Anolis sagrei: one gene and its partners. The protein of the gene in region 2 binds, or shares a complex with, the protein of the main gene of each other region. Links are inferred from orthologs where the notes say so. Each region holds a gene or a part of one and is shown on either strand. Other genes may lie near its edges. The genes, in order: TATA box-binding protein-associated factor, RNA polymerase I, subunit C; POLR1C; POLR2H; TAF1B.

What was found.
Region 1: POLR1C (region 2) and TATA box-binding protein-associated factor, RNA polymerase I, subunit C share a complex: the UniProt entries of both Homo sapiens proteins name them as parts of the pol I pre-initiation complex. The link is inferred for Anolis sagrei from reciprocal best matches to the Homo sapiens genes POLR1C and TAF1C.
Region 3: POLR1C (region 2) and POLR2H share a complex: the UniProt entries of both Homo sapiens proteins name them as parts of the pol I pre-initiation complex. The link is inferred for Anolis sagrei from reciprocal best matches to the Homo sapiens genes POLR1C and POLR2H.
Region 4: POLR1C (region 2) and TAF1B share a complex: the UniProt entries of both Homo sapiens proteins name them as parts of the pol I pre-initiation complex. The link is inferred for Anolis sagrei from reciprocal best matches to the Homo sapiens genes POLR1C and TAF1B.

The regions. Positions count from the first base shown.
Region 1 is NC_090022.1:302,042,369-302,050,287, reverse strand, and holds the start of TATA box-binding protein-associated factor, RNA polymerase I, subunit C, read right to left. Parts: upstream 3,297-7,919; 5' UTR 3,179-3,296; coding exon 3,011-3,178; intron 1-3,010. UniProt on the Homo sapiens protein: Component of the transcription factor SL1/TIF-IB complex, which is involved in the assembly of the PIC (pre-initiation complex) during RNA polymerase I-dependent transcription.
Region 2 is NC_090021.1:49,747,526-49,756,043, forward strand, and holds the start of POLR1C (DNA-directed RNA polymerases I and III subunit RPAC1), read right to left. Parts: upstream 3,432-8,518; 5' UTR 3,387-3,431; coding exon 3,318-3,386; intron 2,355-3,317; coding exon 2,283-2,354; exon of another isoform or gene 2,263-2,282; intron 1,672-2,262; coding exon 1,564-1,671; intron 695-1,563; coding exon 562-694; intron 440-561; coding exon 323-439; intron 73-322; coding exon 1-72. Other genes in the region: protein YIPF3, read left to right, coding at 3,882-3,977, 8,098-8,298. UniProt on the Homo sapiens protein: DNA-dependent RNA polymerase catalyzes the transcription of DNA into RNA using the four ribonucleoside triphosphates as substrates.
Region 3 is NC_090023.1:261,905,968-261,914,514, reverse strand, and holds the start of POLR2H (DNA-directed RNA polymerases I, II, and III subunit RPABC3), read right to left. Parts: upstream 3,504-8,547; 5' UTR 3,288-3,503; coding exon 3,215-3,287; intron 1,329-3,214; coding exon 1,245-1,328; intron 503-1,244; coding exon 409-502; intron 1-408. UniProt on the Homo sapiens protein: DNA-dependent RNA polymerase catalyzes the transcription of DNA into RNA using the four ribonucleoside triphosphates as substrates.
Region 4 is NC_090021.1:130,630,524-130,638,146, forward strand, and holds the start of TAF1B (TATA box-binding protein-associated factor RNA polymerase I subunit B), read right to left. Parts: upstream 3,299-7,623; 5' UTR 3,163-3,298; coding exon 3,145-3,162; intron 1,029-3,144; coding exon 930-1,028; intron 1-929. UniProt on the Homo sapiens protein: Component of RNA polymerase I core factor complex that acts as a GTF2B/TFIIB-like factor and plays a key role in multiple steps during transcription initiation such as pre-initiation complex (PIC) assembly and postpolymerase recruitment events in polymerase I (Pol I) transcription.

The DNA of each region.
Region 1 (7,919 bases), on a different chromosome or scaffold from region 2:
GTTCGGAGTAGAGCAACTGCTTTGGGCATTCAGACAATGTGGCATTCAGTCCAGCGGAGTTGATGGCAGAGGACCATCGCTTCAATACTGGTGGTCTTTGCTTCTTCCAGCACGCTGACGTTTGTCGCTTGTCTTTCCAAGAGATTTGCAGGATTTTTCAGAGGCAGCACTGATGGAATCGTTCCAGGAGTTGCATGTGACATCTGTAGACAGTCCACGTTTCGCAGGCGTATAGCAGGGTTGGGAGGACAATGGCTTTATCAACAAGCCCTTTGGTCTCCCTACAGATGTCCCGGTCCTCAAACACTCTCTGCTTCATATGGAAAAATGCTGAACTCGCAGAGCTCAGGCGGTGTTGACGTCTGTAGACAGTCCACATCTCGCAGGCATATAGAAGGGTTGGGAGGACAATAGCTTTATAAACAAGCTCCTTGGTCTCCCTATGGATGTCCCGGTCCTCAAACACTCTCTGCTTCATTTAGAAAAATGCTGCACTTGCAGAGCTCAGTCGGTGTATATACATGAATCTGTGCCTTCTATGAGCGATTTGCAGGATTTTCCAGAGACAGCGCTGATGGAATCGTCCCAGGAGTTGCATGAGATGTCTGTAGACAGTCCACGTCTCGCAGGCGTAGAGCAGGGTTGGGAGGAAAATATCTTTGTAAACAAGCCCCTTGGTCTCCCTATGGATGTTCTGGTCCTCAAACACTCTCTGCTTCATTTGGAAAAATGCTGCATGCAGAGAGCTCAGGCGGTGTTGTATTTCAGTGTATATGTTGACGGCTGTAGACAGTCCACGTTTCGCAGGCGTATAACAGGGTTGGGAGGACAATAGCTTTATAAACAAGCCCCATGGTCTCCCTACAGATGTCCCAGTCCTCAAACACTCTCTGCTTCATTCGGAAAAATGCTGCACTCTCAGAGCTCAGGCAGTGTTGTATTTCAGTGTTGATGTTGACATCTGTAGACAGTCCACATCTCGCAGGCGTATAGCAGTGTTGAGAGGACAATAGCTTTATAAACAAGCACCTTGGTCTCCCTACGGATGTCCTGGTCCTCAAACACTCTCTGCTTCATTCGGAAACATGCTGCACTCGCAGAGCTCAGGCAGTGTTGTATTTCAGTGTCAATGTTGACGTCTGTAGACAGTCCACGTCTCGCAGGCGTATAGAAGGGTTGGGAGGGCAGTGGGTTTATCTACAAGCACCTTGGTCTCCCTACGGATGTCCCGATCCTCAAACACTCTCTGCTTCATTCGCAGAGCTCAGGCGGTATTGTATTTCGGTATCAATGTTGACTTTGGTGGAGAGGTGGCTGCCAAGGTAGCGGAAATGGTCCACATTTTCTAATGTTATGCCATTAAGTTTTGTTTTTATTAGGAGACGCAAATGATGTATGCTTTTAGTATTCCTGTTATGTTTTTATATTATGTGTTAATGTTTCTAAATGTTTTATGTTGTTTTTGGGCATTGAATCATTGCCATTTGTAAACAGCCCTGAGTTGTGTAAGGGCTGAGAAGGGCGGTATACAAATATAGTAAACAAACAAACAAATAAATAAATATTTCTGGCATTTGGGGAGGGAAGTGCTGGAAGAGCACTTTGGTTTTCTCAATGTTTAATGACAGGCCAAGCTTCTTGTATGCTTCTGCAAAGGTGTTTAGAGTGGCTTGTAGGTCTTCTAAATGTGCACAGATGACATTGTCATCAGCATACTGGAGTTCTATAACAGATGTTGTTGTGACCTTTGTTTTGGCGCATCTTGGTTTTCTTGATGTTCAATGACAGGCCGAGCTTCTCATATGCTTCTGCGAAGGTGTTTAGAGTGGTTTGTAAGTTTTCTTCTGAATGCGCACAGATGACGCTGTCATCAGCATACTGGAGTTCTATAACAGATGTTGTTGTGACCTTGGTTTTGGCGCACTTTCATTTTCTTGATGTTCAACGACAGGCCAAGCTTCTCATATGCTTCTGCGAAAGTGTTTAGAGTAGCTTGTAGTTCTTCTTCTGAATGTGCACAGATGACATTGTCATCAGCATACTGGAGTTCTATAACAGATGTTGTTGCGACCTTGGTTTTGGCGCACTTTGGTTTTCTTGATGTTCAATGACAGGCCGAGCTTCTCATATGCTTCTGCGAAAGTGTTTAGAGTGGCCTGTAGTTCTTCTGAATGTGCACAGATGACATTGTCATCAGCATACTGGAGTTCTATAACAGATGTTGTTGCGACCTTGGTTTTGGCGCACTTTGGTTTTCTTGATGTTCAATGACAGGCCGAGCTTCTCGTATGCTTCTGCAAAGGTGTTTAAATGGTATTGTCGAAGGATGTTCAATGACAGGCCGAGCTTCTCATATGCTTCTGAGAAAGTGTTTGGAGTGGCCTGTAGTTCTTCTTCTGAATGTGCACAGATGACATTGTCATCAGCATACTGGAGTTCTATAACAGATGTTGTTGTGACCTTGGTTTTGGCGCACTTTGGTTTTCTTGATGTTCAATGACAGGCCGAGCTTCTAATATGCTTCTGAAAAGATGTTTAGAGTGGCTTGTAGTTCTTCTTCTGAATGCGCATAGATGACATTGTCATCAGCATACTGGATTTCTATAACAGATGTTGTTGTGACCTGGGTTTTGGCGAACTTTAACTTGATGTTCAACAACAGGCCGTGCTTCTCATATGCTTCTGTGAAGGTGTTTAGAGTGGCCTGTAGTTCTTCTGAATGCGCATAGATGACATTGTCATCAGCATACTGGAATTCTATAACAGATGTTGTAACCTTTGTTTTGGCTTTCAGTCTGTTGAGGTTAAACAGCTTGCCATCTGTTATATGTATTGTATGTATGTATGTATGTATACAAAAATAAATAAATAGTTGAAGCCATAACAACAACAACAACAACAACAATTCTCAATGGAAAGGGAAGGCCTTGGTGGGTTGCTTCTCCCACCTCAGCCTTGTGCCCCTGTTAATAATAATGAGGATAATAGCAATAATGATAATTCAGCTCACTTCCTCCTCTTCTTCCTCTTCCTCTTCCTCTTCCTGCTCCCTCTGCACTTGCCCATAGGAGCCCCAGCCAGACGCCAAGGAGGAGGGCCGGGTGACAGCGCGGTGGGGCGGCCCCGCCAGGAAGAGCCCCGGGAAGAGCCTCTCCGGAAAGGAAGCCGCCTCCGCCATGCTTGCTTCCTTCCTTGAGAAGAGGCGGACGCGGGCCTCGAACTCGCGGCAATCAGGAGGAAGAGGAGCAACTGCGCATGCGCCACTTCCAACAGCCCTCCCGTCCTCCCTCCTGGCGGCCGGAAAGCCCCGGAGTGGAAACACCGCCTATCGCCACGCCCCCTCTTCCTGATTGGGTGGACCACTCGGAGGCGGGGCTTGGGGACAGTCAGTCATCCTCAGTCGCCTGCGGCCTATCGCCACGCCCCCCTCTTCCTGATTGGGTGGACAACAAGGAGGCGGGGCTTGGGGGACAGTCAGTCATCCTGAGTCGCCTGCGAGCCTATCGCCACGCCCCCTATTCCTGATTGGGTGGACGACGCGGAGGCGGGGCTTAGGGGACAGTCATCCTGAGTCGCCTGCGAGCCTATCGCCACGCCCCCTCTTCCTGATTGGGTGGACAACAAGGAGGCGGGGCTTGGGGGACAGTCAGTCATCCTGAGTCGCCTGCCAGCCTATCGCCACGCCCCCTCTTCCTGATTGGGTGGACGACGCGGAGGCGGGGCTTAGGGGACAGTCATCCTGAGTCGCCTGCGGGCCTATCGCCACGCCCCCTCTTCCTGATTGGGTGGAAGACACGGAGGCGGGGCTTGGGGGAAGGTCAGTCATCCTGAGTCGCCTGCGGGCCTATCGCCACGCCCCCTCTTCCTGATTGGGTGGAAGACACGGAGGCGGGGCTTGGGGGAAGGTCAGTCATCCTGAGTCGCCTGCGGGCCTATCGCCACGCCCCCTCTTCCTGATTGGGTGGAAGACACGGAGGCGGGGCTTGGGGGAAGGTCAGTCATCCTGAGTCGCCTGCGGGCCTATCGCCACGCCCCCTCTTCCTGATTGGGTGGAAGACACGGAGGCGGGGCTTGGGGGAAGGTCAGTCATCCTGAGTCGCCTGCGGGCCTATCGCCACGCCCCCTCTTCCTGATTGGGTGGAAGACACGGAGGCGGGGCTTGGGGGACAGTCAGTCATCCTGAGTCGCCTGCGGGCCTATCGCCACGCCCCCTCTTCCTGATTGGGTGGAAGACACGGAGGCGGGGCTTGGGGGACAGTCAATCATCCTGAGTCGTAATATAATGTAATATAATATAATATAATATAATATAATATAATATAATATAATATAATATAATATAATATAATATAATATAATATAATATATAATATAATATAATATAATATAATATAATATAATATAACAACATAACATAACATAATATAATATATTATATAATATAATATATAATATATAATAATAATATATAATCTAATGTAAAATCTAATATAATACAAAATATATAATATAATATAATATAAAATATAAAATATAATCTAATGTAATGTATAATAATATAAAATATAATCTAATATATAATATAATCTAATATAATATATAATAATAATATATAATCTAATATAAAATCTAATATAATACAAAATATATAATATAATATAATATAATACAATATAATACAATATATATAATATAATGTATTATATTATATTGAATATAATATTATTATATTATATAATGTATATCGTATTATATTGTATACAATATAATATATTATATGTAATGTAATATAATGATAAATAAATAAATGGAGGCGCATTTTTGGAGAAGTGGCATTTATTTATTATTTATTATTTGGGGCATTATTATTATTATTTAGTAAATAAAATATATTACATTACATTATATATATGTTATATAATATAATATATATTATATAATTCTAAATATTATATAAAATATAATATATATATTATATTTAATATATATATTATATATTATATAAAATAATATATTTTTAATATATATCACATATATTAATATATTATATAAAATAGTACAATATAAATTTTATTATATTACATAATATATATATTCTGAAAAAGGAAGGAGAAGCCACTGTTTTCAGCATCCAGCCATTCGCCTGGCTCAGGAAGCCCCTTCATGCTTCCTGGGCCACTAATCCACTAACAAAATTCACAGAAGAGGAGAGAACTATAAATCCCATGTCATCAAGGGCTGGAAGGACCTGGCAGGAGTCCGGGGGTCCTGAGGGCTGACCGCAGGAGGCTGCCCGGGGTGGCAGGCTTCTGGACATTGGTGGAATGGAGGCACAAATATCGCTGCAGCGTGGGGCCATGTGTTGGAGTGCAAAAAGTAAGATAGCAGTTAGTCTTAATATTAGTCTAGGAAAAGAATGGCACTGGTTTGGAGGTGATCCGTCGACCCGCAGATTCGGGGGCCCAATGGGTTTCCATATCCGCGGTTCAGAGGATTGCAGTTTCTGCCTCCGAGTTGTTTAATTCATTCCAGCTGGAATGGATGACGACCGCAATCATTTGCCCAGGAGCCAACATGACTCGTTGGAAAAAGTTATACAGTTTTTATAGGAAATACAGAGCTTACAGAGCCGGCTTCGCGCTGATTGGTTGGAGTCATCAGCTGGCCGGGAGGCGCGGCTGGCTGAGCTGCACTCTAGCCAATCAGAGCGCTTTCCCCGCTTCGGCCTCTCAGCCAATGAGGAGGCAGGAGGCCTGACAGGAGGGAAACAATGAATAGAAAATCATGCAGGGTCAGGGGGAAATCATGTCAGCCTCCCCCCTCCAAAGTTCCTCAAAAGGTCATAAGGTTTTGTGGAAATCCTAAAAAGTCCATAGGGGTTTGGCAGGAAGGCTTCCTGGGAGATCCAGGAGTCCTCCTGAAGTTGACAAAGTTCTAAATGTTCATAAAAGTTGTGGAAAGTTGGAAAAAGTTGATAAAAAGCGTCCAAAAGGTTCATAAAAGTCCATGGGACACATGGGAGTCAGAGGGAGCATGGAGGCGTTGGAGTCCATTTGCAGAAGAGGAGAGAACTAGAAATCCCATGTCATCAAGGGCCGGAAGGACCTGGCAAGAGCATGGGGTCATGTGTTAGAGTGCAAAAAGTAAGATAGCAGTTGGTCTTAAAATTAGTCTAGGAAAACAATGGCACCGGTTTGGAGGTGATCCGTCGACCCGCAAATACGGGGGCCCAATGGGTTTCCATATCTGCGGTTTAGAGGATCGCAGTTTCGGCATCCCCGAGACGCTGTAGGAGCGTCCCGGGTGAGCCAGCAGTGATCTGCGGCTCGGGAAAGGAAAGGTTCATGTTAGAGAGTGTTTAAGGCACTCCAGAATGTATCACTATGGAGAGGAAAAGTTGCAAGCAAAGGATTCGTTTATTGGGGTGATTGTTGCATTGGCAGGCTAAGTTCATAAAGGAGGAAAAGAAAGGTTCTTGTGTTGAAGCTGCTGCTTTGACCACAGACCCTCGGTTCTTCACGCTGTCCAGAAGTATGGAAACTGCGGAACTCCCTGCTGCAGTTGAGATCAATCTGAAGGCTTGGGGATTCAGCCTCACAGGGAGACAGAGGATGTTTCTCCTTCTGAAGGGCATCAGATGGGTTCATGGGGCATCAATTGGTTCCAATGAACATTGGCCATGTCTGCCCCACCTTTAGGCGTGGGCAGTCTAAAAAGCTGTCAAAGTGTATAAAATATCTTGTAATTTCCTCCAATTTACCTCTCCGAACATATTCTCCCCTATGAGCCATCAAGATTGCTAAGATCGTCTGGAGGGGCCCTGCTCTTGATCCCACCGGCCTCACAGGTGTGGCTGGTGGGGACGAGAGACAGGGCCTTCTCGGTGGTGGCCCCTCGACTCTGGAACTCCCTTCCACTGGAGATCAGAACTTCTATCTTAACATTCAGGAAACAGGTGAAAACTTGGCTTTGGGGATTGGCATTCGACGAATGAGCCATGATCCTGTGAAATGGATGGAAGACGACGAATAATGATTTTTGATGACGACTGACCACTGTAATTATAGGATTGTATTTTGCTATTTTAATGTTTTAGTGTGATGTAGAATATGATGTTTTAATGACTGTAATACTGATGTTGGAAACTGGCCTGAGTCCCTCGAACAGAAGTGACAAAACTGCCAAATATATCTATCTATCTATCTATCTATCTATCTATCTATCTATCTATCTATCTATCTGGGAAGGTGTGCTTTGTGTACATTTTGGAATGGAGACTCGGTCCTTGCATTCCTTTTGGCCAAACTGTGATCAACCTCTGCTGTTTAAACCCGGAGTGCTTTGTTCTCTGTCCTGGCCAATCGGGTTTGGCGGAACCTCACCGGGCACGGCCCCGCTATCCGCGGTCTCTGTTGAAATGCCCACTGTTTCCCCCCTCCCACTGTGCCTCCCGGCTGTTGCCTAAGCCAGAGGTGTGGGGTGTTTGGGTGACCCCCACTCAGGGTCCAGGGGAAGCAATGGGAGAGTGTGTTGCCCCCCTCCCCCCTCCCCCTGTCCTGAGGGAAGTCTGCCCTTCCTAAGCTGCTGTGGGGAGGGGGCCCCTTGTGACACACCTGGTTGCTATGGCAATAAGCCCACCTTCTGTTGGCATGGAGATGCTACCTGGTGGCCATGGGGTGGACAAAGGCTCTGCTCACAGTTGTCCCAAGGAGCCCTCCTGGGAGGAAGGTAGGGGGGGGGGGCAGCGAAGAAGTGAGGTTGCATCCCTTCCTCCCCACCCCCACCCCCTTCCCTTTCCCCTTCCCCATACCCACCCCTTTGCCTTTCCCCTTCCCCATCTCCTTCCTCTTCTCCATCTCCTTCCTCCTCCTTTTTTGTCTTCTCCTTATCCTCCGTTATTTGTTTGTTTGTTTGTGTGT
Region 2 (8,518 bases):
CAGGACGGAAGCCAGCATTCATGTTGTCTGCCTGAGACCCCAGTGGCACCCATTCCATGTGCTTGCTGTAAACTGTAAAGATAAAAAAGGGCACGGGGAAAAAACATTTGTTACTAAGCAGACAGCTGAATAAACTATGGCACCATTCTCCATCACCAATCAAAGCAAAGTAGCAACTGTGGACAGCAACTTGCTGCAACAAACACCATAAAGTAAGATTCAGAAATGGAAAAAAATGACTGAACTGAGACACTGGGTGTCTAGAATCAGTGCTCAAGAAACAGCAGAATACAGGACAACGACTCCAAAACAAATGTTTTACCTTTGTGATTAATATAGAGTTCATTCGGGTCAGATGATTCCTTAGGTGCCTCGAGGTTCCTGCTACATTTTATTTTCAGCTGGAATTGCAGAGTGTTAATTTCATCACATTCATCCTCTGCAGAAGAAAAGAAAGAGACTGAAAACTCCAAACACAGCCTATGCTCTGGCATTAACTTCTTTTAGCACATAGCTTCATCAGTTTTGGTCCCCCTACAAATGCATACTTGGCTATCTTACCTTCACTTTTATATTCAAAGAGACGAGGATCTGCACAGATAGGGATCAGTCCTAAACGATGAGCCAAAATTTCATCCTGCACAATGGAGGTGTTATTATATACAAAGACCTTCTCAACAGCCATGGTTGGCACCTAAGGAAGAGACAATAAATCTGTTGCTAAGCAGAGATATTCAGCCACAGTATCGCAAAGCATCGGTCTACAATAAATAAACACATCTATTTATTTCAGCTGAATCTGTTTAGGGATTCTGAAGGTATAATGCTATTTGTTCATGCCATGTATCGAGAAGATCTAAAATATAAATCTACTGTGTAAATCCAAAGTCTTACTTTACTATATTAGGAGAGGCAAAACTCCCTTATTTCTAAGCAATATATCAAGCCTCCACAAGGAAACTAGGCAATTTAACACATTTGCCATGCATTTCCTGAAGGTCTGACCAAGAAAAGGTTAAACCATCTAGAACGTACCACTGATAATTGTAAAGACTTTACTTATAGTTAAATGACTGCAAATTAGGATTTTGCACACTCCACCAAGTTTAGTCTAAAGCAGTAAAAATTATAAGAAGCAGAAATTATCATTATTATTATTTATTTATTTTTATCCGCTTTTCTCTCACAGGTGAGACACAAAGTGGCAAACAAATGGTTAAAAAACAGAAATTACATAATACAAGAGTACAACATCATCCCCAACCCAGACAAATAAACAATAAACAAAACACTGTATAAACACACTACATAAACCATATATATAAAACCATATAAAATAATGACATTAATGGCCTCCATCAGGATAATGAAACAGTACCACACATCCCTCTCAATATTTCTTCAACATTTTATTTACTTCTAAGGGAAACTTCTGGAATAACTCAGAATGACCAGCTTGTACTTGTAAAAATGTAATTGCAGCCAAACCCAGCCAACTAAGTCATAACCCAGAGAAATGCCCCAAAAGTGCCTTATTACTCATTGTACTAATCTAATGAATACCTCAGCAAGCAAGATGCGTCGGAAAGCATTAGCAATTGCTGCATCAATCCCCACCATGTCAAACTCCAGTGTGCTTTCATCCATGCTGATGATATCTACTCTGAAATTCTGTAAGAAACAAACAGTTTCAAAACAGGCGTAGTCTTAAGGATAAAATATATTCACTGGAAAAGAACAAGAAGTAAAAAAAACTTCGCAATCAGGGATGTGTTTGAGTAATCGACACCACTGAAAAAATATATTCAGCTTACAATCAAATCCTCACATCAATTACTTTCTTCCAGTCTGTTTTAGGTGTATTTCTGCAAAAGAGAATCCTACAGCAGGAATGGGCAAAATGCAGTTCCCAGGCCATATGTATCCTCCAGATTTAGCTTGTGGGCCCCAGAGATACCAAGGTCAAAGGGAATTTTCTTTGTGTAGTGCACTTAACAACAACAACAATGCATTGTACTTGTTACCTGCCTCTCCACATAGCTTGAGGCAGGATACAACAATTATCAATCCCTGCTGAATTGAAATCTATCCTGTATCTTTTACACCTGGACCATAAATCCCTCCACCTCACAATAGACATGTCAGTACTACTGGCTGAACAAATATATACTATATAGATAAAGCAATTTCTAGAAACAAAACAAAGGTTCTAAATCTCTACTGGTTACTATCAAGATCTATCATGCTAGCCCCTCAAGATACCTAAGAAGAAGTACGCTCACCTTTTCAAACTTAGTTCTATCCCAAGCATCATCATATCCAGAATAATTCCCGGGAAAGTCTGTTGTGTGGGCCTGAAAAAAAGAGGGGAAGAGGTGATGCTTGGAACATATACATTGCAGAGAAAATCATAGGGTCAGCCTGAGACAGAGCTAGGAAAATCCCCCTAGTTCAAGCCATAGACAATTGAATTTGTGGACACAAGGGGCCAACTGAGCACTGAAAGTTATACTGTACAGGTTGAGGATCCCTTATCCAAAACGCTTGCTTGAGATCAGAAATGTTTTGGGATCTTTCAGTTTATGGAATACCTGTATTTGCTTTGACATGAATAATAAGATATCTTGGAGTCCAAAAGACCTAGAGGGCCCAATTAGTAGGTCTCACTTGATCTACTAATTTGCATATGGTTTCTGAAGCTACAAGGCCATTAAATTCTCGAGAGCAACACGTGTGAAAAAGATCTTGGAGTCCTCATGGACAATAAGTTAAATATGAGCCGACAATGTCATGCGGCGGCAAAAAAAAGCTAATGGGATTTTGGCTTGCATCAATAGGAGTACAGTGTCTAGACCCAGGGAAGTCATGCTACTCCTCTATTCCTTCCTTGGTTAGACCACATCTGGAAGACTGTGTCCAATTCTGGGCACCGCAATTGAAGGGAGAGGTTGACAAGCTGGAATGTGTCCAGAGGAGGGCAACTAAAATGAACAAGCGTTTGGAGAACAAGCCTGAGGCTGTTGGGAATGGTGGGAGTTGAAGTCCAAAACACCTGGAGGGCCCAACTTGGCCCAGGCCTGCTTTAGCTTTCGCCTGTCCGGTCTGGTTTAGAGTGGAAGATGCCACAGCATTGATCCCCAGCTGTGAAAGTGGCGCCAAGCGGCACTGATTCCTCCTTGGTGGCCCCTCTGTGAGCTGAACCAGCTGTCTTCCCTGGCCTGGCTGTGGCGGGGATTGGGTCCAAGGCAGGCCTCCTGGAAGTGCCCCTTCGCTCCCCCCCTGCTGCTGCTGGTTCCCTTTCTCCCTTCCCGACTTACGTTGCGGACTCCGAACTCGCCCAGAACCACTCGGCTCCGCATCTCCTCCACGCTCCCGGGCGCCGCCATCTTGGAACCAACGTGAGCCGGAGGAGAAAAGATCAACTTTCCAACTTCCGCCGGATGTTTTGGTTTTTTTTTTTCAGAAGCGACGCTCTCTTGGGGTCACGTGACGCGGCGCGTAACCTTTTGGACGCCATATTGTGTGTGGCGCTCCTTCGCTGTAGAATTCATGCTGCTTGAAACCCCTTTCACTGACAAGGCTCTCAATACTCATTAATGATGGGAGCTGTAGTTTTATGAGGCACCACTCTTTAACAGAGAGGACAAACTTTGCCTTTTTTTCGCCCGTTGTCGCTAAGCTTGTCCAGGAGGACAACTAAGATGGCGCCAGCGACAGGCCGCCTGCCGTAAAATATCGCGAGAGGGGCCGCGCCTCCACGTCCTCAGCGCCGCTGGGTGTCACATCCGGGTCCTTCTCGCTTCGCCTTCAGTTGGGCCCTGTTTTCCTGCCTCTCCTCTCAGGGAAGCGGGAGCGTAGGCTCCCTCGCAGCCGGAGGGAAGATGTCCGGATCCGGAGGCGTCCCCTCGGGGTCGGCGGCTGGAGGAGCCAGGGCTGGGCCTGTGGCCGAGTGGGGGGCCTTCGAGGACAACATGCAGGTACCTTTCGGCATTGGAGTTAGCCCAGAGACCAGGCAGGGGCAAACTTGGCCCTCCCTTCCAGGTGTTTTGGACGCCAACTCTGCTTCAAAAACGTCAGGCAGGAAAAGCCCCTGTTTTGTAAGGTCCCTTCTACACTGTCCTTATGTTCCAGAATCTGACCCCAGGTTGAACTGGATTATATGAGTCTCCATTGCCAGATGATCTGTGATAAGCAAATAATCTGGGATCAGGTCCTGTCATATAGAACAATGTAGGAGAGAGTGTTTGAGAATGTACTTATTTAGTTGGCTTAGTTAGGAGTGAGTCCTCTAGTAGATAACCACCTATTGAGAGGTAACTTCTTAGCTTCAAAACCTGCTGGAGTTCCTTTAGGTGCTCCTAAAATGTATTAGGAAATACCATGTTTACTTGAGTCTAATGCTCCCCCTTTTGGGGACTAAAATGGCTATATAGTCCAAATTGATGTGTTTGTTAGATTCAATGGTGCATTACACTTGAGTACATACGGGTAAAAATAGCAGTGTCCTGTTCAAGTAGTTCTAAGCACTAACTTATGGAAATGCCTTCTGGTAACTGTCTGTTCATTTGGCCAACCCCAAATCTGGTGTTTTTAATGTAATGATAACAGAATTGTACATTATTTGCCCAAGTCTAATGCTTGTCTTTTTTTTGGATAAATTACACAGCTAAAAATTAAAATGTGCATTAGATTGAATGACCCATTATGCTCGGGTGAATATGCTACGTTTTTAAAATATATAAAGGAGAGAGAGAGAAAAATAAACATAACAAATAAAGTTTTTGAAATAAGAGATCAAAGGGGTTGTTGCCGAAGGAAGCTCTAGAGCAGAGCTTTCCAAACATTTCATGGTGACACACTTTTTAGACTTCACTTTATTTCTTAATTAGTCACTCTCCACCAAGGTGCTCCGAGCGACTTACAATCTAAAATAGCATTTACACAATATAAAAACATTCAACATAAAAACATTCAACAGTGACTATTTGGCAAATTAGATCTGATTACTTAAATGCACAACCAAACAGCCAAGTCTTGAGTGCCTTTACAAAAGGTCGCAACTCCGACAATGCTCTAATGTATGGAGGCAATGAGTTCCACAGAATTGGAGCATGCATCATTTTGTGCCACTAATTCAGTTTCACTGGAAAACCAGAGTTTAAACCATCCTTTTATAACCATATAGTTTTAAATATATATCATTATGCTTACTTTACATACTCAGAGGTTTCTCATTACATTCACATAACACACCTACACACTGCAACCAAGACACTATAATATATCATGACATTTTGGAAAGCTTTATTCTAGATACTAAAGGGATGAGCCTCAGTGCTGATCTCCGGATAGATTGCACTAATTTTTATTATTAGTGGTATTTCTATTTATAATATTGAATGTATCTCCAATGCAACAATTAAATGTAGCTTGAAACTACTTTAACTGCCATGCCTTAATGCTATGGAATTCTGGGAACTGGAGTTTTAAAAGGTCTCTGCTGAATAGTGTTGATGCCTCACCAAACTATGACTCCCAGATTTCTATTGAATTGAGCCACAGTAATTACATTGGTGTCAAATTGCATTAACTACAGTTGAGATGTACCCATTATTAACAGGAACTTTGAAGTGATGTCAGTATTGGTTCAAATTATGAAAACATCATAAGGCTGATTTAGTTCTCCTTATTCATGCCTGTAATATACTTGTAAGATAAAACTACAGAAATGTTAAATTTGAGTAATATTGTCGGATTTGAGTTGTCAATACAGCTTCTCTGCAATGACATTTGTGTGGCTGACCTTTCCAATGGCATGCACTTGCTCTAGGCTTTCTTCTTTAGGCACAGATTTAGTTATTGTTGTGGAGCTATTGCCTTGTCAGCTTTGATTACACAAACAACTGAAAAAGCCCTGCAATTGCAACAGCTATGGAAGACATATGTGCAAGTGCCACTTTCTAACTCATGTGGATGATACCTTTTATTTAGTCTTTTAAATTTTCTCCCATTTTGGAAAAGGGCTTCCTCTTTAAATGGTCTCTTTTTGCAATTGTATGTTGAAGTCATCGAATTACACACAGAATTGGACAGATTCATGAGTTAAAAGGATTCCACATATTGTTATCCCATAAACAATAATTTTTCTAGTACAAATAGAAAAGATTATTAGGTTTTTTCTGCCAAAATTCTTGAGTTAACTAATTGAATGTTTTGATTATCCGTTTGACCCCAGGTCTTCAAATGGCAGTCTGTTCTGCCTGCCCAACCTGATCATATGCATGTTTCATAGCTTCCATTTCAATAGACTTTATTCAATTCCATACAATTTTAGTTATACCATGAATTTATAATAATCTTAAATAATCACTAGTTCCATGGTCTAACTTAACTAACCTTCCTGTCTCCATAGCACTATAGGCTGTAGAAATATCTCTTCCATCTGAAAGGTTATTTATTGTAGAAATATACGCTCGCTATGAAGCAATAAACTTTTGACTGTCAGTCTGGTTTGGGTTAATCTCTGATCTACCTTGCCCTTCAAGATATTGTGGGGATGACAGTCCAGTGTATCTGGAAAAACAAAGATTTCCCACAACTTCAAGCAAGCCATTTGGGTTTGATACTATGTTTGTCTAAAGGCATTGTTTTGACACTAGTTTGTAACGGTCTTGAAAATAGAAGGCATGCCTCTAATGTTTGTTCTCAGATCCATAAAATGGTTTCAATTTGAAATCAGGAGTAAGATCTCTTGCTTCAGCACACATTCCCAGAAACCTCTTGTCACAAAACATTGATGGGATAAGTGGTTTTTGTGGGGTGGAAAGAGGAGTTTTGTGCTGCAAACCATCCCAGAACTCCACTCTGCCAACATATGTTTTAAACGTTTAGACCTCCTATGGTAATGCACAGAAATGTGACATTTCTAGAGGGTTTGAAGCCTTTGGCGGATGGGGGACATTGATTTGTCTCCAATTCTCAAAGTAATCTTGTTCTTATAGCAGCAGGGTACAACTACAGAATCGCTAATTTAGTCTCCCCCATCCTAAAATGTGAGAACAGTATTAATCACTATAGAAAAGCTTTAGGTCAGAAGAGGGCAATTGTGGGACTATATTGGAAACCGTATGCATATACCCCTGGTGTGCACTGGTTTGGTGTTGTTGTTTTTTTTAAAGTTAGGATTTTTTCCAGTGAAAAGACTGTCCAGGAGACTAGGGAGACAATTTCACCTTCTTTTGAGCCTAGTGAATTTTCCCCCAAGTTCTGATTTACTTTTCCTCAACCTAAAACAGCTTGCAGGAGTTCACAAAGTCATTGGACTTCCTTCCTTTTATTTTTATCTAATGCAGTGGTTCTCAACCTGTGGGTCCCCAGAAGTTTTGTCCTTCAGCTCCCAGAAATCCTAACAGCTGATAAACTGGCTGGGATTTCTGGGAGTTATAGGCCAAAAGGGGACCCACAGGTTGAGAACCACTGATCTAATGGATCTAAATGTCCTCAACTAGAAGGAATATCTGAACTTTAAGGAACCTTTTGTGGTTTTCATTTTACAATAGTTTCATCTGAAGGTTAACAAAGCACAAATAACAAAACAAAGTTTGAGCCTTCTCCCTAGTTGTGTATGATGGGAATGGAAGCAGGGGACATATTCCCATGGTTCCAGTTAACTAGGATCCATCTACACTGCCATATAAAATCCAGATTATCTGCTTTGAACTGGATTATACAGCTGTGTAGACTCATATAATTAAGTTCAAAGCAGATAATCTGGATTATATAGCAATGTAGATCTAGCCTAAGAATATACTCTTAATTACTGTCAATGGTGAAACTCTTCCCAATTTTCAGCATCTACTGATACATCGAATGAAGCCAACAAAAAGGATGCTTTCCTCTTGCTCTTCCCATTTGACACAAAGACAAGTATGAAGAATTGAGTTTACATTGATTGTTATCAATGCCTGTAATTTTTTTTCTACAGAGAGAGATTATTGTAGGATATTCATTGCAGCCTTCTTTCTCATGGCTGTGCTGCCTCTCGAGTCAAGGTAAATGTTTGTGCATGGTCTCACTGTATCTTTCCACCTTGCTCAGGGTGGAGGTTCTGCTGTAATTGACATGGAAAACATGGATGACACATCTGGCTCCAGCTTTGAAGACATGGGTGAGATGCATCAACGTATGAAGGAAGAGGAAGAGGTGGATGCAGAAGCAGCAGCTGCTGATGAAGAAGATGGAGAGTTCTTGGGGATGAAGGGCTTTAAGGGACAGTTGAGTCGGCAAGTTGCTGATGAGGTAACCACAGCTTTCTTTATCAAATCTGAGGATCAAAGTTTTAAATCCTGATTCCCACATGTTTCTAATTTATTCCAATTTTTTGGAAATAGTATCTTGATGTTTCTTCCATATTGTAGTCTTGACTAATGTTTATTGCCCAATTTAGAGGGATAATTTATAGTTATTTAAATTAGTGTAGGTCATGCCATACACAGAGTCAGGGTAGCCACTTTAAGGT
Region 3 (8,547 bases), on a different chromosome or scaffold from region 2:
ATTATGAAAATCCAATTATCAAAAGCTTGTCGAAACAAACATAAAAATTCTCCGCTAATGACAGCATGGCAAGGAGGGGGGCATTTAACCTCCTGAAGAAGTGAACTGGGGCTGCCATGTTTGTAAGAGATGCAAATGTGCAGGTGGTGGGATAGAGAAGACAGTCTCCCCAAGGGGCTAAATCTGCAAAAAAGCATGATCTAGACCAATGGTCCTCAACCTGTGGGTCCCTGGGTGTTTTGGGCTACAACTCCCAGAAACCCCAGCCAGTTTACCAACTATTAGGATTTCCGGGAGTTGGAGGCCAAAACATGTGGGACCCACAGATTGACAACCACTGATGTAGACACATTACTCACCCAAACCTATGTTACATCCACACCTCTGGCAGAACATTTTTCCCATTACCTGGATGGCCTATCATCAGTAGGATTGTATTCACCATCATCCAGGGTTCCATCTTCGTACAAGGTACTGGCAATTACCAGGCGGAATTTGTCACCTGAAATGAGAGAAGACAGGAGACGTAGGAGTCAGTGCAGTGTACTGGTTTGAGTAGTAGAACTATGACTCCAGGAGACAAGGGTCTGGCCATGGAAGACCTTTGAAAGGATTTAGGCAACCCACACTCTCTCATCCTCAGAGGGCAATAACAAACCTCTTCTAAAGAAATCTTGACAAGAAAACACTACCATAGAGACACCAAAAGTTGAGTTTAGGTACATAACACGCTTGAAGCAAAATACGACACTGTCAATTCAGTACAAGGTGATTTCAAAGGCTGCACTATGGCTGAAATAATACTTCTACACGTTACAAGTTCAGCACCCCTTATCTGGAATTCCAAAATCCTCCAAAGCTGTCCACATGGCTGGCTGAGATAGTTACACCTTTTGCTTTCTGATGGTTCAGTGTACATGGATTTTGTTATGTGAAAAGAATTATTAAAAATACTGTGCATAAAGTTACCTGTATGTATATGATGTACATGAGAGATAAATGAATTCAGCATTTGTGTCCCATCTCCAAGATAGCTCATGATGTACTTAAATGAAAATATGAAAAAGAAAATCTGCGATCCAAAGCATTTTGGATAAGAGGAAAAGAGCAGGGTTTATATACGGTAAGTCAAGAAGCCTGAATTTGCCAAGAGAAAAAAGCTTAAAAATAAACAGATTTTTAATCAAACAACACAAGCTTAGCTATTACCCAACAGTTGGGCCAGTGACTTAAAACTGACTTACCAAGATCAACAGGATAGATCTGTACATTCACATCTAGGATTAAATCCATCTTGAAGGACTCACTCTCACAATGTAGTCGGGAAACTGATGAGACAAACCCATATGTCAATTAAGACACAACATTGGAAGTATATTGTCACCAAGCAGAAAACGGGGAACTTTTTCTAGTAGCCTGAAGACAGATAGGGTGGAAGCAGATCGTACCTTGTTCAAATGTCATCATGAAATGTGGTGGATGACTGTTAGTAATGTATTAATGTTTGGCCTACAGCAAAGGATTGTGATCTGTAGTTTGGGGGGCGGGTGGGATTATATGTGGCACCTTGGGTTCTCAGGAGAAACAGTAGGTATAAGAGCAATAAATGAATGTGGGGATAGAAGGGAAGGTTCACAGAGGGCAGGAATAGTTCTTGGGAAATATTGTATAAATACATGTATAAAATGTTATATAACTATAGAAGTTATATAACTGGGTTGTTGTAGGTTTTTCCGGGCTATATGGCCATTTGAATGCAATATTCCTGCTTCTTGGCAGGGGGTTGGACTGGATGGCCCATGAATCATAGAATCATAGAATCAAAGAGTTGGAAGAGACCTCATGGGCCATCCAGTCCAACCCCCTGCCAAGAAGCAGGAATATTGCATTCAAATCACCCCTGACAGATGGCCATCCAGCCTCTGTTTAAAAGCTTCCAAAGAAGGAGCCTCCACCACACTCTGGGGCAGAGAGTTCCACTGCTGAACGGCTCTCACAGTCAGGAAGTTCTTCCTAATGTTCAGATGGAATCTCCTCTCTTGTCGTTTGAAGCCATTGTTCCGCGTCCTAGTCTCCAGGGAAGCAGAAAACAAGCTTGCTCCCTCCTCCCTGTGGCTTCCTCTCACATATTTATACATGGCTATCATATCTCCTCTCAGCCTTCTCTTCTTCAGGCTAAACATGCCCAGTTCCCTAAGCCGCTCCTCATAGGGCTTGTTCTCCAGACCCTTGATCATTTTAGGTCTCTTCCAACTCTTTGATTCTATGATTCTATGATCAGATCCTGACCAAACTTGGCACACAGACCCAACATGGCCAACTGTGCATACAAGTGCACAGGGGTTTGAGGATGATTGACCTTGGCTCTGGGAGATGTAGTTCACCCTATCCAGCAAGCACTGAACCCAGCCGACTTTGGACTTGGACAAAACATGGCACACAGACCCAACATGGCCAATTTTGCATACAGGCCCTCTTTTGGGGGTGATTGACATAGGATCTGGGAGTTGTAGTTCGCCTAGGCATCATGTTATATAGTGTTAACAAACCAGTCAATTCTGACTTATTCTAAGACCACCAAACACACTTCTCACACCTATGTCAAGACAAAGACACAAATACAGATAGTCCGAAAGTTACAAACATCCAACTTACAAACTACTCGTAGTTAAGAACAAGGGCGAGACAACAAGAAGGGAGAGAAATCTACCCCTCAGAAGGGAAATTCTCTGTGTTATTGTTTATATGTAAGTTATATTAATTGTACTGTTTTATTTGCTTGCTGTTTTGTTTTTACTGATGAGTTGTTGGCCTTGGCCTCATGTAAGCCGCTCCGAGTCCCCTTGAGGAGATGATGGCGGGGTACAAATAAAGTTTATTATTATTATTATTGCATTAAATCCACACCTGGAAAAGTGTCTCCACTGAAGCTTTATCACCGATCCTTGTATCCACAACAAGTCAAATTGTCCAAAATGAATTATCACTGGGACAGAAAGTGAGGTGAAATCATAACAGGGGCACAGAGAGCAAAACAAACACCACAGGGGTGTTAACCTTTCTCTATGCTATCCAAAAATATACATAGATATTTGGCTGGAGGATACACAGTCAACTTATGAACAAACCTACAGAACCTATCTTGTTCTTAACTTGAGGACTGCCTATATAAGATAACATACATAATAATCATCATCACAGTCAGAATACTTGCCCCTGTCGAACTTCTTTCCCTCGGGGTCGATATCCTTCACGTCGAAAATGTCCTCGAAGAGGATGCCAGCCATGGCCAAAGAGAAGGAGGCCCAACGCCCACAGGTTCAGGGGTGGGTCAGGAAGGGGAAGGAATGCAGCCTGACAAAGAGAACCAGAGCCAGACACAAGACACATCAAAAATCCCGCCCTCTGCGCCCTCGACTCGGAGCCAGAGCTGACAGGATCCGCGTGGAGTGAGAAACCCCACACTAGGGTTACTTCCGGCGCTCGCAGATGACGCAGCGCGCCCGAAGCTCAAGCAGCCATCGCGTTCGCGGGCAGAAGGAGGTTTCAAACCCCAGAGGAAACGGGAAGGCAGCATGAGGTCACTGGACTCCCTTGCGCCTGCGCAGAAGCTTTCTTTGCCTCCCTGGCAAACTAGCAGTATACAGAAGAGTTTGGTGGGTGACTTATGTTGGGTGTTCCATGTTAAAGGACTGGAGAAGAGTCTGGCGTTAGTTACAAACAGCAAAACTGAGTTGATTAAAGCAGCATACATAATATATTGCGGAATGAATTCATATATATATATATATATATATATACACACATAACATAACACAAAGCCCCCGGTGGTGCAGTGGGTTAAAGCACTGAGCTGCTGAGCTTGTTGATCGAAAGGTCGCAGGTTCAATTCCGGGGAGCGGCGTGAGCTTCCGCTGTCAACCCTAGCTTCTGCTGGAGGGGACGTGGTTTTAAAAAGGGAATTTTCATATATTTCCCCTATGCCCATATGTCATGATTTACTGCCATATTGGCCTATTTCTGCAGTAGGCCTTTGTTCACAGAAAATGCTGATTGTTTGAGAAATCAGTGCTCCAAAGAAGAAGTTACTATTCAAGGGTAACAACATATCTGGACAAAACCAGCTAGCTGTTTGCTAGATAGAACCCCCAAGTTTCCCAGTCGCTCTGAAGCCATGTTTGCAACAGACTAATAGATAAGATACAGTCATGGTCAGAGAACAATGGACCATAGTTATGTTATAGTTGTGCCATTGTTAGGATCCCACGTGTGCTATAATGTCAATCAAAATCATAAACAACTAATGAACAACTGCATAGCTAGCTTAGACCAATGAAGTGATTTGTCTTTGGGAACCAATGAAAATGTATATTCCATTTACTATAATTGCTCTGCAGCCCCCTTGGGGGTTGCGACAAACCCTTTGATTGCATCCCTGTATGCTTGTTTGTCGTTATTGCTATGGCCACGCAATAATAAATAGTTTTTTGCAGTTTAAAGGATTCAACTTTCGTGGTGTCCATTCTTGCCCTCCCTATTGGAAAGGGGGCTTCTGCCTTTTGGGAAATATTTTGGTTTTGTTGCCCCTACACTGCCAACCTAGCAGTTCGAAAACATGCAAATGTGAGTAGATCAATAGGTACCGTTCCGGCGGGAAGGTAACGGCACTCCATGCAGTCATGCCAGCCACATGACCTTGGAGGTGTCTATGGACAACGCTGGCTCTTCGGCTTAGAAATGGAGATGAGCACCACACCCCAGAGTCAGACATGACTGGACTTAATGTCAGGGGACAACCTTTACCTTTATATATATACACACACACACACACACACATTTTTCTTTGTATTTGTAGGTGCAAAGATGACTGCAGACACAGACTGTGGCCAGGAAATCAGAAGACGCTTACTTCTTGGGAGGAGAGCAATGTCCAGTCTCGACAAAATAGTAAAGAGTAGAGACATCACACTGGCAACAAAGATCCATTGCATAGTCCAATCCATGGTCTTCCCTGTAGTCACCTACGGATGTGAGAGCTGGACCTTAGGGAAGGCTGAGCGAAGGAAGAGAGATGCTTTTGAGCTGTGGTGCTGGAGGAAAGTGCTGAGAAGATCCAACCAGTTCATACTCCAGGAAATAAAGCCCGGGTGCTCATTGGAGGGAAGGATACTAGAGACAAAGTTGAAGTCCTTTGGCCACATCATGAGGAGACAGGAAAGCCTAGAGAAGACAATTATGCTGGGGAAAGTGGAAGGCAAAAGGAAGAGGGGCCGACCAAGGGCAAGATGGATGGATGGCATCCTTGAAGTGACTGGACTGACCTTGAAGGAGCTGGGGGTGGTGACGGCCGACAGGGAGCTCTGGCGTGGGCTGGTCCATGAGGTCACGAAGAGTTGGAGACGACTGAACGAATGAACAACAACATACACACATACATACATATACATATATACATATATATATATACATCTCAAAGCAGGGAGCTTTGAGACGGCAGAACAGAAGCAGAAACCGCATTGAGTCGCCGATTTAGGCTGCAAATTCGGTATAAAAATAAAGCAAATAAATAAAATAAATAAGCTCTCCGAAGCTCTAGGTGCTCTTACTGCCTATTACAGGGAAAACCAGCTGATCCCTAACCCATCTAAAACACAGACATGTGCCTTTCATCTCAAGAACAGAGAAACGGGAAGGCAGCATGAGGTCACTGGATTCCCTTGCGCCTGCGCAGAAGCTTTCTTTGCCTCCCTGGGAAGCTACCACTATATAGAAGGGTTTTGTGGGTGACTTATTTTGGGCGCTCCAGCTAAAAGGACTGGAGAAGAGTCTGGCATTAGTTGCAAACAACAAAACTGCGTTTATTAAAGCATCAGATATATATATTGCGGAATGAATTCATACTATATATATATGAATGAATATATGAACACACAAATACACTAGCTGTACCTGCATTGCTGTGGCCAACCTTCCCCTCCCTCTTTTTCTCCTTTCCCTCCTTCCTTTGCTCCCTCTTTCCTTCCTTCTCTTTTCTTCTTTCCTTCTCTCCTTCCTTCCTTCCTTTCTTCCCTACCTCTTTCCTTCCTTGCCCCCTTTTCTTTCCCTTTTCTCTCCTTTCTTCCTTCTCTACCTATTTCCTTCCTTCACTTTTTACTTCCATCCGTCTCTCTTTCCTTCCCTCCCTTTCTCTCCTTCTTTACTCCTTCCTTACGTCCCTTCTGCCACTGCCAGAAGGGACAGAGAGCTTCATCTATGCTGATGATCGTGCCATTACTGCTCAAGCAGGCAGCTTTGAGACTGTAGAACAGAAGCTCTCCGAAGCTCTAGGTGCTCTTACTGCCTATTACAGGGAAAACCAGCTGATCCCTAACCTATCTAAAACACAGACATGTGCCTTTCATCTCAAGAACAGAGAAGCATCCCGAGCTCTGAAGATCACCTGGGAAGGAATCTCACTGGAGCATTGCAGCGCACCCAAAAACCTGGGAGTCACTCTGGACCGTGCTCTTACCTACAAGAAGCATTGCCTGAACATCAAGCAAAAAGTGGGTGCTAGAAACAATATCATATGAAAGCTGACTGGCACAACCTGGGGATCACAACCAGATACAGTGAAGACATCTGCCCTTACGCTATGCTACTCTACTGCTGAGTATGCATGCCCAGTGTGGAACACATCTCACCACACTAAAACAGTGGATGTGGCTCTTAATGAGACATGCCGCATTATCACGGGGTGTCTGCGCCCTACACCACTGGAGAAACTACACTGCTTAGCCGGTATTGCACCACCTGACATCCGCCGGGAAGTAGCAGCCAATAGTGAAAGGACCAAAGCAGAGACATCTCCAGCTCATCCCCTGTTTGAGTATCAGCCAACACGTCAACGACTTAAATCTAGACATAGTTTTCTAAGATCTACAGAGACACTTGCTGGAACACCTCAGCAAGCGAGAGTCCAAAAGTGGCAGGCTCAAACCCAGAACCTCAATCAATGGCTGATACCAAATGAGAGATTCCCCCCTGGGCACACAGAAGACTGGGCGACTTGGAAGGCGCTGAACAAACTGCGCTCTGGCACCACGAGATGCAGAGCCAACCTTAAGAAATGGGGCTACAAAGTGGAATCCACGACATGCGAGTGTGGAGAAGAGCAAACCACTGACCACCTGCTGCAATGCAACCTGAGCCCTGCCACATGCACAATGGAGGACTTTCTTGCAGCAACACCAGGAGCACTCCAAGTGGCGAGATACTGGTCAAAGGACATTTAACCAGCTATCAAACTCACAAGTTGTGTATTTTTCTGTTTGTTTGCTTTGTTCTGTTAGAAATGTAATATAATGGACTGGGTGCTCTGACACGACAAATAAATAAATAAATATACATACATACATACAGATACACATTACACATTGTGGAATGAATTCATATATATGGAAATATATGATTATATAGATATATGATTGTGTTTGTATATATATATATACACACACACACAATCATACATCTATATAATCATATAATATTTCCATATATATGAATTCATTCCACAATGTGTGACTGTATATATACATATTGTGCGTGTATGGAATGAATATATATATATATATATATATATATATATATACACACACACACACACATACATACATACATTGTGGAATTAATTCATATATATGGAAATATATATGTGTGTGTGTGTGTGTGTGTGTATATATATATATATATATATATACACACACACACACACACACACACACAGAGATATAATTCATATATATATATATATATATATATATATCTTTTCTTTGTTTCTAATCTAACTTTTAATGCAAATATATAAACATACAATAATACATCAAATAAAAATACAATAAAAATAATAAAAGAACAATACAAAATAAACACAAGATACAATATAAAATCACAATAATTGATCAGGGTGTGCAGGGCCAATTACAAAGACTATTTTTTTAAAAAACTCTTGGTGAGGTAAGTAGTGTAGTGTATCTCTCCGGTGAGGCATCTTCTATAAACGACAATATGCAAATATATAGCAAAATAATACAATCTGTCTACTTAAGTTATTATAGAATGTCCTCGTCTTGCCATAAACAAGCAGTTTCTCTGGTATTCCAAACTGCTTCAGTCTTCAGTTTCAGCACGCTGTGTAACCGCTCCCAGCAACAGTTAAAGGTTTCTTCAGCTCAAAACGAGCCATCAGGCTAAGCTAAAAATGCAAAGTTCAAAACTTGCAAGCCTTAGTGCCTTGTTTTATGCAGAAAGTGATAACACACCCAATTAATTTGTGGCAGTTGTAACAGAAAAGGGTCTGATCTTCCCTGTTACTTAGAAAAAGCCTGTTGTAAACCCCTAGTAGCAACAGTCACGACCTCTGAGGATGCCTGTCATTTGTTGTTTATTCGTTCAGTCGCTTCGTGACCTCCTGGACTAGCCCTAGCCAGAACTCCCTGTCGTCCGTCACCACCCCCAGATCCTTCAAGGTCAATCCAGTCACTTCAAGGATACCATCCATCCATCTTG
Region 4 (7,623 bases), about 81 Mb from region 2:
GTATCACACTGCTGACTCATGTACAATTTATGATCAAGAGTAATCCCAAGATCCTTTTTATTCACAGAACAGTTGAACCAAGTATCTGCCATCTTTTATCTGTGCTTTTAATTTTGTGGCCTAAATGTAGACTTTTACATTTGTCTCTGTTACACTTCATTTTATTAAGTTTAGTCCAGTTTTCCAGGTTATTTTGAATGCTGTTCCTGTCCTCCAATGTACTGACTACCCCATCCAGTTTTGCATCATTTGCAAATTGTGGCATTCCACTTGAGGCTGCCTTCCAATCTGAAGCAGAGCCATTGACAACAACTCCTTGAGCAATTATGGATCCATCTGATGGCATTTCCATCTATTCCATATTTAGACAATTTGCTAATCAAAATATTGTGGGGACTTTATCAAATAGTTTGCTGAAAGCCAGAATAATGGCACTCACAGCATTCCCACCACCTACTAAATTAATGACCCAATTAAAAAAAAAGATCTAGGGTAAGTTTGGAAAGATTTGTTCTTGACAAACCCATGTTGGCCGCTACTAATCACTGCATTGTCATCCAGATACTTGCAGACATTTTCCTTTAAGCATGGAAATATGACATGATTAAAATTAATTATGAATATAATGGAGTCAGCAGCAGAGGCTGCAAAAATCGGTCCCAAGTAAGCAACTGGAAGGAAAACAGCTTTTTATGCACAAATCTGACTTGGATGCAGACCCTGGCTGAGAATCCTACACAGTACAACAATACTCTTCTAGACTCTTGGGTGTATTTTTTGGCTGTAATATGCATCTGTATTCTGAGTCACTAATTAGTCAGAGGAAGATCATTAATAAAGATCCCAGACAATGCTGATGATTTAATTTTAAACTAAAGATTCACAGTTTAGGAGTGTGGAAGGGGATAACAGCATAGATCATTACTTACTTCTGTGACCGTGTGGCAAGATCTGCAGTAAAATTTGCCTTCTTCTGTAACACCCCAGTCGACAGAAATACATTTTGCACAAGGTTCATCAAAATCTCTCTGAAAACAATAAAATCAATTTTAATGTAAATACCTACTTTTCATACTAATCAAACACACTATAAACTGACATGGAAGTAAGATTTGAGAGAAATATCTCCTTTAAATGTAATAATCACACAAAAATCACTGTGTTCACTTAGAAATGAAGTGGATTGTGGTCAATAGGGCCTCCAAGTAAGTGTGCCTAGAATTGCACCCAAGTATTATGCACCTTTACCAACAAGCACATTCTATTGAGCATAGTGGGGCTTAGGCTTATATAAACAAAATGCATTGGATTGTGGTATGAAGCACCTAATTTAATTAGCTTTAGATTTCTCCATCTAAAGATGTTGTTTATAAACACTGTAAGATAGTTGGACTTTAACTAGAAATGTTGGATGCATACAGACTTGTATGATGAGCTGGACACCCCAAAGGACAGCCAAGTTCTTCCTATACAATTATAATTTACTGTTTTAAAAAATATCAATAGGGTATTGTCCAATTTCATACGTAGGTGTGGCAATTTTCTTAGTTTCCTTTTTTGCAGACATCAACAGTCCTGAATCCAATACATTTTAAATGGTGAATTTTAACTTTACATTCTACTTATATTTTAATATAGCTATTTGCATTGTATTTTAATTTATGTATTTTTCAATGGTGTGTTTTAATGTATTGATTTTATGACATGTATTTTATAGTGTTGTGTTTTGACTGTGTTGTTCCTCATCTCAAGCTGTGAGAAAAGACAAGTAACACATAAAATATCATTTTATTATTAATTATGTAATAATTGCTTGTATAGGCATGGAGCATGCACTTTCCCCCTCAACTTGGCTGCATCTTTTCTCAAAATACACATATCCTCAAATGCTCACTTTTTAGCATCCCATTTAAGGTGCATCTACACTGTAAAACTAATGCAGATTCACACTTTTTGTTGACATGGATCAATGCTATGGAATCCTGAGAGTTGTAGTTTTACAAGGCCTTTAGCCAAAGGGCTCCTCCATACAGCCCTATAACCCAGAGTATCAATGCAGAAAATTCCACATTATCTGAGTGTGTACTCAGGTAACCCAGTTCAAAGCAGATATTGTGGGATTTTCTGCCTTGATATTCTGGGATATAGGGCTGTGTGGAAGGGCCCAAAGAGTGCTGGTACCTCTCCAAACTGCAACTCTTGGCATTATGTAGCATTGAGACCCCTTCCAAAGTTGAATAAAAGCCCACGTTATCTGCTTCAGATAAATAAGCTCCAGCCCAGCTTACTTATCCGAACGTATCTCTCTCTATGTTTCACCTCATAATTTAAGATCTACTGCGGGGGCCCTGCTCTCGGTCTCACCAGTGTCACAAACGCGCTTGGTGGGGACGAGGGACAGGGCCTTCTTGGTAGTGGCCCCCTGCTTGTGGAATTCGCTCCTCAGTGAGATCAGATCGGCGTCCTCCCTCCTTACTTTTAGGAAAAAACTAAAGTCGTGGTTTTGGAGCCAGGCCTTTGGCTAGTGGGCACAGCAGCACTTTAGATACTGAACCCGGACCATAGGATTGTTATGACAATTGGAAACGGCTATGTGACTTGATTTGGCAACTTTGTTAGTATATAAGTATGTGATTTTAATTAATGTTACTGTTTTAATTTGCTATGTATTTGATTTTACATTGTTGTATTGATATTATGGCACTGAATTGTTGCCCATGTTAGCCGTCCTGAGTCCCCCCTCAGGGGTGAGAAGGGAGGGGTAGAAATTGTGTAAATAAAATAAATAAATAATGGAACATGTAGCAGTGTGGACTCAGATAACTCAGTTCAAAGCAGACATTGTGGGATTTTCTGCCTTGATATTTTGGGTTATAGGGCTGTGTAGAAGGGCCTGCTGTCTGCTCCACGTGGGTTTTTGCTCTCCTTCCCTGGGCCCTTCCACACATCCCAATAATCCAGAATATCAAGGCAGAACATCCCACAATACCTGCTTTGAACTGGGATATCTGAGTCCACACTGCCATATATTCCAGTTCAAAGCGGCTAATGTGGGGTTTTATTCAGCTGTATGGAAGGGCCCCCAGTATTTCCAGGGAGCGCTCCTTCTCCCCGAAATGCCCCCTTCCCTCAGCCTAGCCTCACCGCCTCCTCTTCCTCCATCGGAAAGTCCCTTCCAGACCACCGTCGATGGTCCCCGCGGTGCGAGAGAAGCCCACCGGATGAGCGGTCCGCTCTCAAAAACAGTCGGCCGGGAAACAACACTCCGAGTGCTTTGGTTCCGAGGCTCGAACCGCAGCGGCTTCTCTCTGTCGCTCGTCGCCCCCTGCAGGGAAAGAGGCGCGCCCTTCAAGCACACCCCATGGGATGCGTGTGAGAAAAGTGCATGTGGGATAAATCAGTCAAAAAGGCAGCAGTTGACACTCGCCTCTCTTTACCAAGTCATAAGCGATTTTGATAAGGAAGCCCAGATGGCAGAACATGTGGCCTAGTAAGTGTAAATGTGGTTCTTTTCGGCAACTGATCTTCCATTCGCCTTCCAGAATGGGAGGACATATCAACACAAAGGCTCCTTCCACACAGCTGAGTACAGGCCCGTAGCCAGGATTTCATTTCGGGGTGGGGGGGCCTAATTTTTTTTCAGGGGGGGCTGAGTTTCGGGGGGGGGGGCTGAGTCTGAGTGAAAGAGGGTCTACCCTAGCAAACCTTTTGTATCATTACCCCAATACCCCCATGCATATGGGATATATTGAGCATGGTGATCAGATCATGATATGAATTAACAGTTTAAATAATGCACCAGGAAGGCCTTTTCGCGAACCACCATGAGAATTTCGGGGGGGGGGGGGGCTGAAGCCCCTCAAGGCCCCCCCCCCCCCCCCCCCCCCCCCGGCTACATGCCTGGCTGAGTAAAATCCCACATTATCTGCTTTGAACTAGGTTATACCTAGGAAGGAAAAAGGAAGAGGGGCCGACCAAGGGCAAGATGGATGGATGGTATGCTTGAAGTGACTGGATTGACCTTGAAGGAGCTGGGGGTGGTGACAGCCGACAGGGAGCTCTGGTGTGGACTGGTCCATGAAGTCACGAAGAGTCAGAAATGACTGAACAAATGAACAACAGCAACAATATGGCAGCGTGGACTCAGATAACCCAGTTCAAAGCAGATATTGTGGATTAGCTGCTTTGATATTCTGGGTTCTATAACTGTGTGGAAGGGCCCTATATCCCAGGATCTGATCCCAGGTTTTCTGTTTATCCCAGATTATCTAACAGTGGGGACTCGTATAATCCAATTTAAAGCAGAACACCTGGGATATAGGACCTGTTTGGAAGGACCCTGGGTTATCTAAGGGCCCTTCCACACATATTCCAGAATATCAAGGCAGAAAATCCCACAATATCTGCTTTGTACTGGGTTATCTGAGAGCCCTTCCATGCAGCCCTATATCCCAGAATATCAAGGCAGCAAATTCCACATTATCTGAGTGTGGACTCAGATAATCCAGTTCAAAGTGGATATTGTGGGATTTCCTGCCTTGATAGTCTGGGATATAGGGCTGTGTGGAAGGGCCCTGAGTCCACACTCAGATAATGTGGGATTTCCTGCCTTGATAGTCTGGGATACAGGGCTGTGTGGAAGGGCCCTGAGTCCACACTGACATATACTCCAGTTCAAAGGAGATATTGTGGGATTTTCTGCCTTGATATTCTGGGTTATATGGCTGTGTGGAAGAGCCCTAAGACTCCCTATAAGGCCCCTTCCACACTGTCCTATATCCCAGGATCTGATCCCAGATTACCTTCTTATCCTTGATTATTTGGAAGTGGAGACTCATATAATTGAGATTAAAGAAGATAAGTTTTGAACCCAGTTAAGTCCCTTCCACAAAGCCTTATATTCCAGAATATCAAGGCAGGAAATCCCACATTATCTGAGTGTGGACTCAGATAACCCAGTTCAAAGCAGATAATGTGGGATTTTCTGCCTTGATAACCTGTGTGGAAGGGCTCTAAGTCAATGGCAGTTGGATTGGATGGAGGCAGGAAGGGGGAGAAAAGTCTACTCTATGTCCACACAAATTCTCATGGTGGTCTGCGAAAAGGCCTTACTGGTACATTATTTAAACTGTTATGTTTATTCATATCATGATCTGATCACCATGCTCAATATATCCCATATGCACGGGGGTATTGGGGTAACAATACAAAAGGTTTGCTAGGGTAGACCCTCTTTCACTCAGACTCAGCCCCCCCCCCTCCCCCCCCAAATCAAAAACTGGCTACGGGCCAGTTTCAAACCTTTTGATCAGGTGCCCTGAAAACAATAGTATTTTCTGGCTTTTGACTCAGGGCCCTTCTACACAACCCTATATTCCAGAATATCAAGGCAGAAAATCCCACAATATCTTATTTGAACTGGGTTATCTGAGTCCACACTGCCATATATCCCAGTTCAACACAGAAAATGTGGGATTTTATTCGGGTGTGGAAGGGGCCTTAGTTGCCTTCTCTCAACATGCCTCAGTTAACATTCAGTCCTTGACTGAGCAGGAAGAGAGACAATCAGCCCAAGGCTCTCCATCAATATGTCTTCTACACAGGCCTTCCTTGTTCTGCTCACATGTTCACCAGTTTGCCGGAAGGGGCATTAGTCATTCATTTCTAACTCAAAAGTAAATTTTGTTTCCGTTTGGAATGCGAAATACAGCATGAGCAGCCCTTGTCAGGAATTTCGAAATTCAAAATCCAAAATTCTCCAAAATCCAAAAGTGTACACATGAAATGGTGAAATCTTTGCTTCTTGACAATTTGAACTACACAAACTTGGCTTCATGCACAAAATTGTTTTAAAATTGTGTATTAAATTACTTTCATATATACTTATGAATGTAAAGTGTATATGAAACATAAATGAAATTTGTGCTTCGATTTGGATCTCATAAGCACATATATGCAAACACAGGTATTTCAAAATCCCCCCAAAATAATAATCTGAAATCTAAAACACCTTTAGTCCTACTGTTTCAGATAAGAAGACTCAACCTGTATATACATGTATTCTTTTTAAAAAGCACACACTCTGAAACCATTGTTATTGTATTTTATTTCATGGCTGTTCATTGTTCAATTAACCCCTATGTTCATCACTCGGTACCGATTCCCTCTTTCCCACTCACTCTTCCTTGCTCAAACACCAATTGGAGGAAAGCCAACCCTGCCTTTAAATAATGACATACACATATAACCAGTTATTCAACATATACAATTATATGCTAACCTTTGTCTATAATTATATGTTACCTAAGTATAAGGAGACATTGATAGGAATATGATAATGTTGGAGTAAGGAGACAGTCTGTCTTCTTGCTTCAGTTCACTTTTCTAATTAAGATTGTTATATGCAGTACACGCAGCTTGATACACAACTCAGATAAATACACGCCCGGTGGATTCTTCCAGGCTTCCTTTCTAATGAACAAGATTCCACTGCTAATATTACTGTTCTGGTTCCCATTTTCCCAAAGCCGAATAGACCATTGACACACACACTGTTTAGGTTTTGGTGTTAGACATGCTTAATTATAAGGAAGCCATTCTCTTTGGTGACATGTTAAATGTCAAGGCATTTGCTTTCAGGAAACAAGCAACCTGTGTCAAATAACACCTCAAAGTGTCTCTGCTAAGAGTTATCTGAGGAGCCCACAATTATCTCTTGCTCACCAAGAAGGTGTAGGACCTCGTCAGATGCAAGTCGTGTTTACCACCACCCCCCACCCCCCATTTCTATACACTTTAAAAACAGAGCTCATCATACGACACAAAATGACTTCTTCCTGTTGTCCATGGTAATCCATCTGTGAAGTGTTTTAAAAGTGTATACAAATGGGGAGAATTGGAGTCAGGGAGAAATATCTTCTGAGCTCCTGATTCATGCGTAAATAGCAGAAGGTGCTTATTTACATGTGGGATGGGATCTGTCAGATTCTTCCAAGTTACCTCATTTTAGTGACACCGAGGAATAGGTGTTTCTATGGGTGGTCTCCAAATGGGCATCAATGCTCCATTACTCGCCTAAAGTTTTGTTGAATAATCCTTTCATGGTAATTTCTTTTAATTAATGTAATCACCAGGAATTGCGCGATTTCGAAATATCACCACTTAACCATTCCTGTATTTTCTCCTTCCTTGAAACCTTGGCTCTCCAAATTGCTCCATAGCTATCTTCTTAACTTTTTTCCCTTTTTTATAACAAATTATAGGAAGTAGTAATGTGAGTCTTTTAGAAAGCCCTAGACAATTTATAATAACTTACTTTTGCCTTGAATTTGAGTATACCATAAGTAATGCTCATATCACATTAGTGATAAAAGTTATAATTTTAAGATTGATAATGTAATTCATTTTTTCATAACAATGTAATAACAAAATAATAATAATAATAATTACTACTACTACTACATAAATAGACATTATTACTCCTTTACGGTATTTAAAGTTCCATGAGGTTTTAGACTTCTGCAATTTTGAAATTTCCTCTATAAAAACAGGAAAAGCAAGAATGGGGAATGGACAGGGACTACACTTGCTCATGTGATATCTCAGAATGCAGATAATAGAAAT